Cricetulus griseus: one gene and its partner. The protein of the gene in region 1 interacts with the protein of each later gene in a pairwise test. Links are inferred from orthologs where the notes say so. Each region holds a gene or a part of one and is shown on either strand. Other genes may lie near its edges.

Region 1 (4,749 bases):
TTTACTCTTTGCTTCAAAAAACGTTAGAAATGATCTCTCCCTATAGCCTTCCCCATTCCTTCTCCCTTGTCACTTCACTGTCAACCTTTTTTCTTAATTCCTGATAGCGTCTATGGGCATTAAGCAGGCTTTTGCTCATAAAAATCTTAACATTTGACACCTGGATGTGACAAGCACACAATACCATTATTTTAATTTTTTTTCAGTTATGGTTTCAAGTCTGTTTTACACTAACTAGACTTGACACTGCTATAATTTGTTGGATGCCAAATTGACTTCTCAGTGCTTTTTTTTTTATCTTGAAGGGGCATCGCTTTTTTTTTTTTTTGATGTGCATTTTGCTCTCTTCTGTTTATTGAAACTTTTTCTGTTAAATCTACGTTCAGGGCAACAATAACAAACCAGTCGACTATCACCAAGAAAAGTCTGTCGCTGATATTTTTCCACCCCGTGTATCTCAAATAACTTACAGCAACCTCACTTAGCACACCACAGGCTTGCTTGCTTGCTTTTCGGGCCTGTCCTGGAACTCACTCTGGAGACCAGGCTGGCCTCGAACTCACAGAGATCCGCCTGCCTCTGCCTCCCGAGTGCTGGGATTAAAGGCGAGCGCCATCGCTGCCCGGCACCACACGCTTTCTTTCTCTTTCTTTCTTTCTTTCTTTCTTTCTCTTCTTTTCTTTCTTTCAGCAGCCGCATTCTCCAAAGAATTTTCTTCCAGCGAGAGGAAGAACTGGGAGGGAATGGAAAAGTCGCGGTGGGAAGGCTCCGTTCCGCCTTGCGGCCGGCCACTTAACGTCTCCAGCGCCAAGGCCGGCGCCCTAGCCGCGCAGGATGAGTGACTGCACTCGGCCGCGGTTCCGGGTTCCAGCGGCCGGCTGAGGGCGACTTCCGCCGCGGCCCGCCGAGGCTCCGCGGCAACCGTCCGGGCCGCCCAATTAGGGGCTTTCCGACCCCCACGCGGAGCCCGAGGGGCGGGGGCCGCGGCCGACTCGCGGAGGGCACCCCGCCCCCGCCGCCGTTGCGCCTCTGGGCGCACGCGCAGCTGCCGCCGCTCCGCATTTAGTCCGCGATGGCGTCCCTCGCGCCCCACGGTTCTCCTCCCGAAGGCGGCTCCCACCCCGCGCAGCCCGGAGGCCCCGGGGCCCGCCTCTCGCAGGCCCCCGAGCACGACTACCCCTAAAGTGGAACGGGAGTGGCCAGAGTCGAGAGTGAGGGAAGCAGCAACCGGAAAGGGCTTGACGGGTCGCGGGGCTACGAGCCCAGGCCTCAGAGGAAGAGGAGGGCGTGAGCAAGCCGAGGTTTGCCGAAGGCGGCGTTCTCCAGCCGCGCGGGGTGGGTAGGAGGGGGGTGTGGCGGAAACTGCCGAGCTTTCCCGAAGGCGGCCGCGGCCGAGTTGCCCGGATGTAGTTGGTGGAGCGGCGGCGGCGGCGGCGGCGGCGGTGCTAGCAGCGGCAGCGGCAGGAGGCGGCGAGAAGGACTCGGCGGCGGGGGGAGGAGGGCAGGCGGCGGCGGCGGCGGCGGAGCAGGAGCAGGAGGAGGGGAAGGTTGCTGGAGGCGCTCGCTCTCCGCGGGGACCCGAACACGGCCTCTCGCCCCCTCCCCCCGGCTCGCGCTGCCGCCGTGTAGTTGGCGCCGCTGCACCGGCCGACCCTAAGCGGTGGGGACTGAGGGAGATGGCCCGGGAGCGCCGGCGCCAGTAACGGGGAGGTGCCGCGAGCCGCCGAGGGCGCGCCGAGTCCTGGTGCCGGGCTGCCCGCTGCCCGCCCGCCGCCCGCGCGCGCGCCCGCCCGCCTCGCGGCCGCTCTCCCCCTCCCCGACACACACACACAGCCGGGCATTGATGGTAATGTATGCGAGGAAACAGCAGAGACTCAGTGATGGGTAAATCGTCTTTTCGTTTCGGGCCGGGCCGCGGCGGAGGGCGGGCGGGCGGGCGGGCGTCCTTATCGGGAGCTGGCCGCGCCGCCATTTTTGTTGTTAACCCTGATCGGGATCGGGCGGAGGAGGCGGCGGGCCGGGTCGATCGGGCGGACGGGCTTGCAGCCTGGGGGTCCTGGCGGGCAAGGCGAGCGGGCCGCGGCTGCGGGCCGGCTACTGGCCTGGGCCTCTGAGCCCGGGGATTGTCGGCGGTGCGAATCCGCTCCGGTACGGTTTGGTCGGCGGCCCGCGGGGAGGGGCGCCCGGGGGAACCCGCTTTCTTCCTTTCCCGCGATGTCTCATGCCACGGTTCTTGTTACTGTTTTTCAGCTGTCACGACCGGAGGGGGGACTCTCAGCCTTTCCAGGTACCAGCCGATCCGGGGGTAGAGGGATTGGAGGGGGCCGGAGGGGGAAGGGAGGGACTGCTACTCGAGCGCAGGCTTCAGAAGTCGCTACAGGCCTTTCGGTGCAACAAATCCGAAAGTAGCATGACTGGCCCGCTTAAAAATTGGTATAGGGTTCCATTACCACTCTCCAAGCTTATCCAGGGACTTAAATTGAGAGGTGGCTAGAGGAAGTTCAGGGTTTTTCTTTCTTTCTTTTTAAAGAAAAAAAAAAAAACATTCGTAACCAGGAAGACCTGGTTGGGTTTGAGTGAGAAGGAATCGCTGGGGTGTAGTGATAGGTGACGTGAGAGGCACATTTGCTTGCTTGCTTGCTTTTGGAGAGCCGAAAGATAAATGTGAAGGTTTTAAAGTAGATGAAAGGGAGAAGTACCTTTTTTTAGTTAACATTATTCCCTTTCAAGGGAAACTGTTTTGTTTTTGCTTTAGTTAATTTAAATTTTCTGCCACTTGGTTTCTTTATGCCAATAGTAATGTCTCTGGGCGTCTATTGTTATTGAAGTTTTTGCATGTAAAGTTTTAAAGATTTGCTGGAGTGTCCTCTGGACGCTAACTGATGATAACAGATAGCACCACTAATCACTTTTAAAAGATAAAAGAATTGGAACAGATCTGCCTCTCAAGGTTCTGTGGCTTCCAGTATTACTCCTGTCTTAAGTCTTCTGAGTGCTGGATTACACGTGGGAGCCACCAGTCTGGCAAGAGAGCAAGCAGGTTTCTAACACGATGTTGTGTTACTGTATAGGAGCTTCCGGGATGACAATATTTGCATGTGTCAAAGATTATTGACCCCTCCCCCATATAACTACTAGTGAAGGACTGATACATTGTGTTCATCTTAAAGCACCTGCAGAGGAGAGCCATTATTTTAAGGGCGTCTAGAATTATGCCTTCTTAGAAGCTCTGCTCATGCATCAGTTTTGGCAAATATTCTTGCAGCTTAAGAGTATTTTATCCCTGAAAGAGCTTGTAAACTACGAGTTAGTGCTTTATTTGAATCAAAGAAATGGAAAAACTTTTATTAACTATGGTCTTAAAAACATGCTTATTTTGTACATGTGCCTGGATGCATTATTTGTAGAGTATAAATGGATTGCAGTTTAAGCTTTCAAAAACTGGTTTTAGTTTCAAAGTGTGCCAAGATAGTTGTTTTTTAAAGTTTACATAATAGGGTTTTTTTTCTCCCCCTAGTTGTATTAGATTTCTTACCAGGAGTTGCATAGTAACTCTTGAGCATTTAGATTTTCTCTGAATAAGGGAAGTACTGAGAATGGAAATAAATGAATTTTGATTTAAGTGAAGTTAACATATTAAAATTTGTGATTTAAATAGGTAATTGAGTTTAAAGTTTGAACTTTTTCTCTTTGTTTTGGGGGGTGATGTTTTCCAGGCACTTAAGTATTCGTCAAAGAGTCACCCCAGCAGTGGTGATCACAGACATGAAAAGATGCGAGACGCCGCAGATCCTTCACCACCAAATAAAATGTTGCGGAGATCTGATAGTCCTGAAAACAAATACAGTGACAGCACAGGTCACAATAAGGCCAAAAATGTGCATACTCAAAGAGTTAGAGAAAGGGAAGGTGGTAAGTAGTTTTCTGGCCCAAACTGTCAAGTATATGTATGTACTTTAAGGGTTAAACAGTGCATTCAGTGTGTCGACCTTAAGGAAGTTACTGTATGCTGATGTTATCAAGTTTGGTATTTTTTCCCCCTCTCTTAAAATTTTTCAGTCACTTGGAAAGTAATGTTGGCATGAGCATAGACTCCAATGTTTGATGATAAATATCGAGTGCATTTACAAAGATAATCTTTTAAATGTTTACTAATGACAGCAGAGTCCCTGAGCAGTTTTCCAAGAAGGGAACTTTGAGTTCTGAAGATTCTGGTTTAGTTTGAAGTCATTGGTGCTTCAAGTGTTCAAGTTTTAATTGTAATTATGAATTAGACATTTAAAGAGGAGGTTTATCAAGATAGCTACTGCCATTAAAAATGCTTTTTGTATTTGTTTGTTTGTTTGTTTTTTTGAGACAGTGTTTCTCTTTGTAGCTTTGGAGTCTATCCTGGCACTCGATCTGGAGACCAGACTGGCCTCGAACTCACAGAGATCTGCCTGCCTCTGCCTCCCGAGTGCTGGGATTAAAGGCTTGTGCCAACAACACGGCCTAAAAAGGCTTTTTGTTGTTTAGGAAATTAGTTTTTGTTTAACCCTTTAAAATCCTACATCCCTTTTTTGGTTGTTTTTTTGTGTGTGTGTTTTTTTTTTTTTTTTTTTTCCCTTAGGGTCCTGTTAATGTTTAATAGAAATACACAACTTTAAAGATCTTTTTTAAATTCCTATTTTGCCTTTTCAGATAGGGCCTCATATGAGCTATTCAGGTGAGGATGACTGGGAATAGGTACATTTGCACATGTACTTTGCT
Region 2 (4,824 bases), on another chromosome or scaffold:
AACTAACAGAATGCAACAAATATCAGTCACAGATGATGCACACATTGCAATAGTCTTAACTCATATGAAAGCAAAGGTCAAGATTCATCAGACAGCTAAGTGGGTAAAAGCACTGTCAGTGAGCCTTAGAACCTGAGTTCAACCCCCATAACATATGTAAAAGAAGAAGAGAACCAACCCCACAAAGATGCCCTCTGACCTCCACGTATGGGTCATTCGTGTACATGTTCTGCTCACCATCTCTGTGTAAACCATATACATATACACTCTCACAATAATATGTTTTAATTTTAAAAAGAAAGCAAATGTTCAAAATAAAAAATTTAAGATTGATCCCTTTTATCACTGCAGAATTTCTTCGTAAAAATTAAAACAAGCTTGCAAAAAATATTAAGCATCTAAGGAATTCATTTGTTCTCAAGGCAAGGAATGATATTTGCCAGCGTGAGTTAATTTAAATAGTGTTGATTTACATGCTCAAAGAAATGTGTCACCCTGCAAAATTTGTTTGTTTGTTTTGTTTTGTTTTATTCTTAAACTATTAGTAAGAAAGCTGGATGTCAGGTCTCAAACCTGGGACAATTGCTAACATATCAAAGTGGACCTGGCCACTACATTATCCTAGTATTCCTCAGTCCCTAACTGTTACAGGGTATGGCTGACATAGCCCACTTCCTAAACTTTTCCAGCCCAGGGGTTGGGGTGCCCTTTCCCCAGATGCCCTTGTCTATATAACCCAGACATATTGGTTACCAAACCCTTTTTGTTTACTCTCTACTCTCCCGGCTCTCCCCTTGTCCCTCTCCTCATGTGACCCAGCTCAGGATCATGTTCACTCTGGACTCTGATGTACCTGCCTCTGGCTATACTCTCCCCGTAAACTTTCTCCTCCACCATACCTAGGAGCAGTCATGTCTCTTTTATTTTTGTTTGTTTTTGTGTTTGTTTGTTTTTAGTCACTGATCAATTTGTTGACACTAGGAACAATATCAGCTGTCAACTAAAAACAAGTCAAATGCTTTTGAGCATTTTCTCTCAGCTTTTGTTGAGTTTTGTTTGCTTACTCTATTTAATTTTTGACAGTCTCACTATGTAACCTAGGCTAGGCCAGAACTTAAGATCTCCTCCCTCTGCCTTCCCAGAACAGGGATTGTAAGTGTGTACCACCTGCCCAGCTTTTTCTCTGGCTTTTGTTTAGGAGAGGATGCTGCAAAGGTGTCCATGAATTACTCTTGGAAACCCATCAGTGCTGAGTTGTAAATGACCTCGAGGAAGAAGCCAAATCCTCAGCCTCCAACTCAAACACTTCAGGGAGCAAGAGAAAAAGAATGATCTGCTACTTCTCATCTCAACACACTCCCTGTTAAGCCCTTTTCTGTTGGTTCAGCTCTCCTTCTCTTATCTACTTCTGCCCACCCATCCACTTCTTTAACTAACCATAACATCTCTTGTAGAATGTCATCCTACATTCCACACCCCCTGCAAATGAAATGCTTTGGGTTCAACATGCAGAAGATTAGCTTTGCTGGCTAACACAGCTATGAAAATGTTGAATTTCTAGTGTAACTAAAATTTTATTCCAGTAGAATGAAGTAGACGCATCAAAGGCTGTGAAGTATATCCCCATAGTGAACTCATTGTCTTGGGAAAGAAGAACAGCTGAGACTCCCTGCTTCTCTTCAGTAGAGACAGATCTAGCTGTAGAGGAGGACAGGTCCAAGTGGGCAGCACTACTACAGATGCTTGGCCTCCAAATACTACATCATACTTGTTTCAGAAATGCTTAAGACTGTAGTAAGATGACTCAGGTAAGGTACCCAAGACAACATGAAATTCAGTTATATTTTATCTTCTAACTGAAAGTAATCAAATACCACATTTTATCATTTTGCTATGTGAAACAAAGTTTAACGATGTGTAATTTTCCATTCCTTGACACCATGTAAGCACGCAAAAAGTTACATATTTAGAAATATTTCTTGTTTTGGGTTTCTTTTTTTTTTAGGTCAGGGATGTACAACCTACCCTTCCATCCTCCTAAGGTATTATTTCAGACCTTCATCATTCTTTCCATCCCTCCTACCTCATCACTTGATTCTTAAGTATATGGTCCTGGTTGATTCTTACCTCATAAAGTCACACCAAGTCAGCTTTCAACTTTGTGTCACAAGCCAATACACCCACCTACACCTAGCCACCTATGCTTTGTCTCTGAGCTGCAATAACAGAAAGGTTCATCCACTTGTTTTCCAGGCCCATTGCCTCTTTTTACAGTGGATAGAAGGTTTTAGATGGTTTTTTCGATTTTTCTATTACGTGTTCCATGTGTTCCTGAATCAAAATAAAACCCATTTCCCTTCCCCTCACAAACCCCGTTAAAGCATAATGCTCACTCACCATCCCCCTTCTTACCCTCTACACCTCACACTCACCACTGTTCCTGGAGAGACTGCCTGGGCTATAAATGAGCACCAGCTCAGCAGTGGTGCTGTTGACTATTCTCTGAATTGTTCTGTTTCCTCGTGGCACTGTCTCTTCACAAAAAAAAAAAAAAAAAAAAAAAAAAAAAAAAAAAAAAAAAAAAAAAGGATGGGGATACTAGGGAGCAATGTCTGAATGACCAGAGCCTGGGAGTATTTCCAGATGTGGGTTGTAGCACACCAAGGGTGACACTGTTAACTTCCATCATATTTGAGTGCTTGTCTTACCTGCTGAAATAAGAGTTCCTCAGCTTTGAGTCGCTCCAGCATTTCCTGCTCCATCAGTGCTAATTCTCTCTCATGCTCCAACTCAATCATCTCTTTCTGTCTCTAGCAATTGGTAAAAAGCAACAGCACACAACTTATTAGAGACCAATCTGTTAACACAGTCTCAGAGGCATCTCAACCACCAGCAATAAAAGAAGGGCTAAGAACATAATGCTCTATTCATTTGGAAACTATACAACAATTTGGGGGATTTTTATGATTTAGCCAAACAAAGAACACACAATTAAGATTATACATCAAATATAAAGAAAAATGAAACCAATCTACAGACAAACATGTCAGGAAAAGACACTACTGGGTTGAAAATACTTAAAATCAAAACAGAAGCCTTCTTTCTGTTTTCTCTCCTCTCTGCATTCACATACTGTCCAAAGTTTTCATATAATAAACATTATTGTAATGGAAAAACAATATTGAACATAAAATGTAAACAAGATGAACCAATTATCATGCTCTTCTAATTTCCTGAAAGGAGATCCATATTTACCAATTGCTCCATGATCACATTTTGCTTGTACTTATAAATCCACAAGGCTAAATATTCTATTGGATCCAATGGGCGGACTCTTGCCACTTCAGCGAGACCTTGAGTCAGGCATGTCCCCAGGCACTTTTGAAGATATGATGACTCCATTTTTAATTCCTAAATAAAATGATCTATAAAAGTTTTTCATTAGAGCCAAAAGTGTTCTGAATAGGCAGAGTTAAAAGTAAAGTCAAGCTAAGCAGTGGTGGAATTCATCTATAATCCCTGAACTATGGAGGCAAGTAGGGGCAGGCAGATCTCTGAACTTAAGGCCACCTTGGTCTATAGAGAGAGTTCTTGGTCTACAGAGAGAGTTCCAGGTCTACAGAGAGTACCCAGAGAAACCCTGTCCATATATATATATATATGGCTACCGGAACATTCCACTCTGTCACTAGTCATGGGTATTTCTTATTAAGGATGAAATAAGCAGGCTGGCCCAAGGAAACTCCAAATGGTCTACAAAAGGTCTCTGCAGAAGTCATAGTGAAAATAGCTACTACATCCTGACAGTTCTTGTTTAGTCCCAGGGTCAGAAATGGGCACTAGTGTTATTCATCACATTGTGCCAAGTAATGCTGGTGCCAGTTAATGCCCACAACATCTCAGGCAATGGTCAGACAGGGAAGCAAACTCAAAGAGCTTTAGTGAACAGTCCAGAGCACTTGACTGGCATGTGAATGTATGGTTTGTACCCACTGCCTGACCTCAGAACCTTAAGTCTATTGACTCTAAGATGCTTCTGCTATGTACTTCCATAAAACATCACAAACTGTCCATCTCTTCTGAAAAATCATGTATTGTCAAAGCCAGAGAATACAAATTCAGATTCCAATAAACAGCATGCAATTACTCATAATCTAGCCATAAACTTTAGGCTTACCTCAAGCACCTGCCTGTCATCATCCACCCTAGGCCCTTACTCTACCAAATATTCTGCCATTCTACACAACACACCCTGCACTTTTCCAACTCCACGATCCTCCCTCTATTGTTGGAACATGGCTCCTCACCTTCAAGGTACAGACCAGCTCTAGCTCTAAGAGTTTTTTCAACCAGTACAAGAAGGTTCCTCCTGCTTCAAGTAGTTCATACAGCCTTCATCATGCTGCCTGAGATGAGAGAGAGAGAGAGAGAGAACATGCATGCATGTAGGCATACCATGCACCTATGCTTGTCTTTCTTCTAGAAGACAGACCCCTCTAGGTTCCCAAGGAGTATTTTGGTCACAGGGCTAACAGCACTGAGCAAGTTTGTGCCCACTCCCAGCTGTTTCCCAGTCTTTTCAGATATGAACATTGTTGCATGGCTCCTTCTGGGTTGACTATTTCTATTTACCCCAGAAGGATAAAAGACTGAACATATGATTCTACTCAAGCTCAGAATTGTAACCCAGTGTATTTATTGGGATTGCCCACAGAAGCTACGGTAAGAATATATGTTCCAGTGAGAAGTTTACTAATATTGCTTTGTTAAACGTATGTAATCTGTCTGTCAGTTGCCTTCTAAACATCTGCATTTAGACCTACA

The links. The genes of interacting proteins can lie anywhere in the genome.
Region 2: the proteins of Wac (region 1) and Dydc1 interact in binary tests that used the Homo sapiens proteins (3 or more experiments, as listed by UniProt). The two-hybrid records come from large-scale screens. The link is inferred for Cricetulus griseus from reciprocal best matches to the Homo sapiens genes WAC and DYDC1.

Annotation. Positions count from the first base shown.
Region 1 is NC_048596.1:207,007,729-207,012,477, reverse strand, and holds the start of Wac (WW domain-containing adapter protein with coiled-coil), read left to right. Parts: upstream 1-1,467; 5' UTR 1,468-1,843; coding exon 1,844-1,884; intron 1,885-2,250; coding exon 2,251-2,287; intron 2,288-3,698; coding exon 3,699-3,912; intron 3,913-4,749.
Region 2 is NW_023276807.1:179,044,671-179,049,494, forward strand, and holds the start of Dydc1 (DPY30 domain-containing protein 1), read right to left. Parts: upstream 3,403-4,824; coding exon 3,256-3,402; intron 2,811-3,255; coding exon 2,709-2,810; intron 1-2,708. UniProt on the Homo sapiens protein: Functions as part of axonemal radial spoke complexes that play an important part in the motility of sperm and cilia. Plays a crucial role during acrosome biogenesis.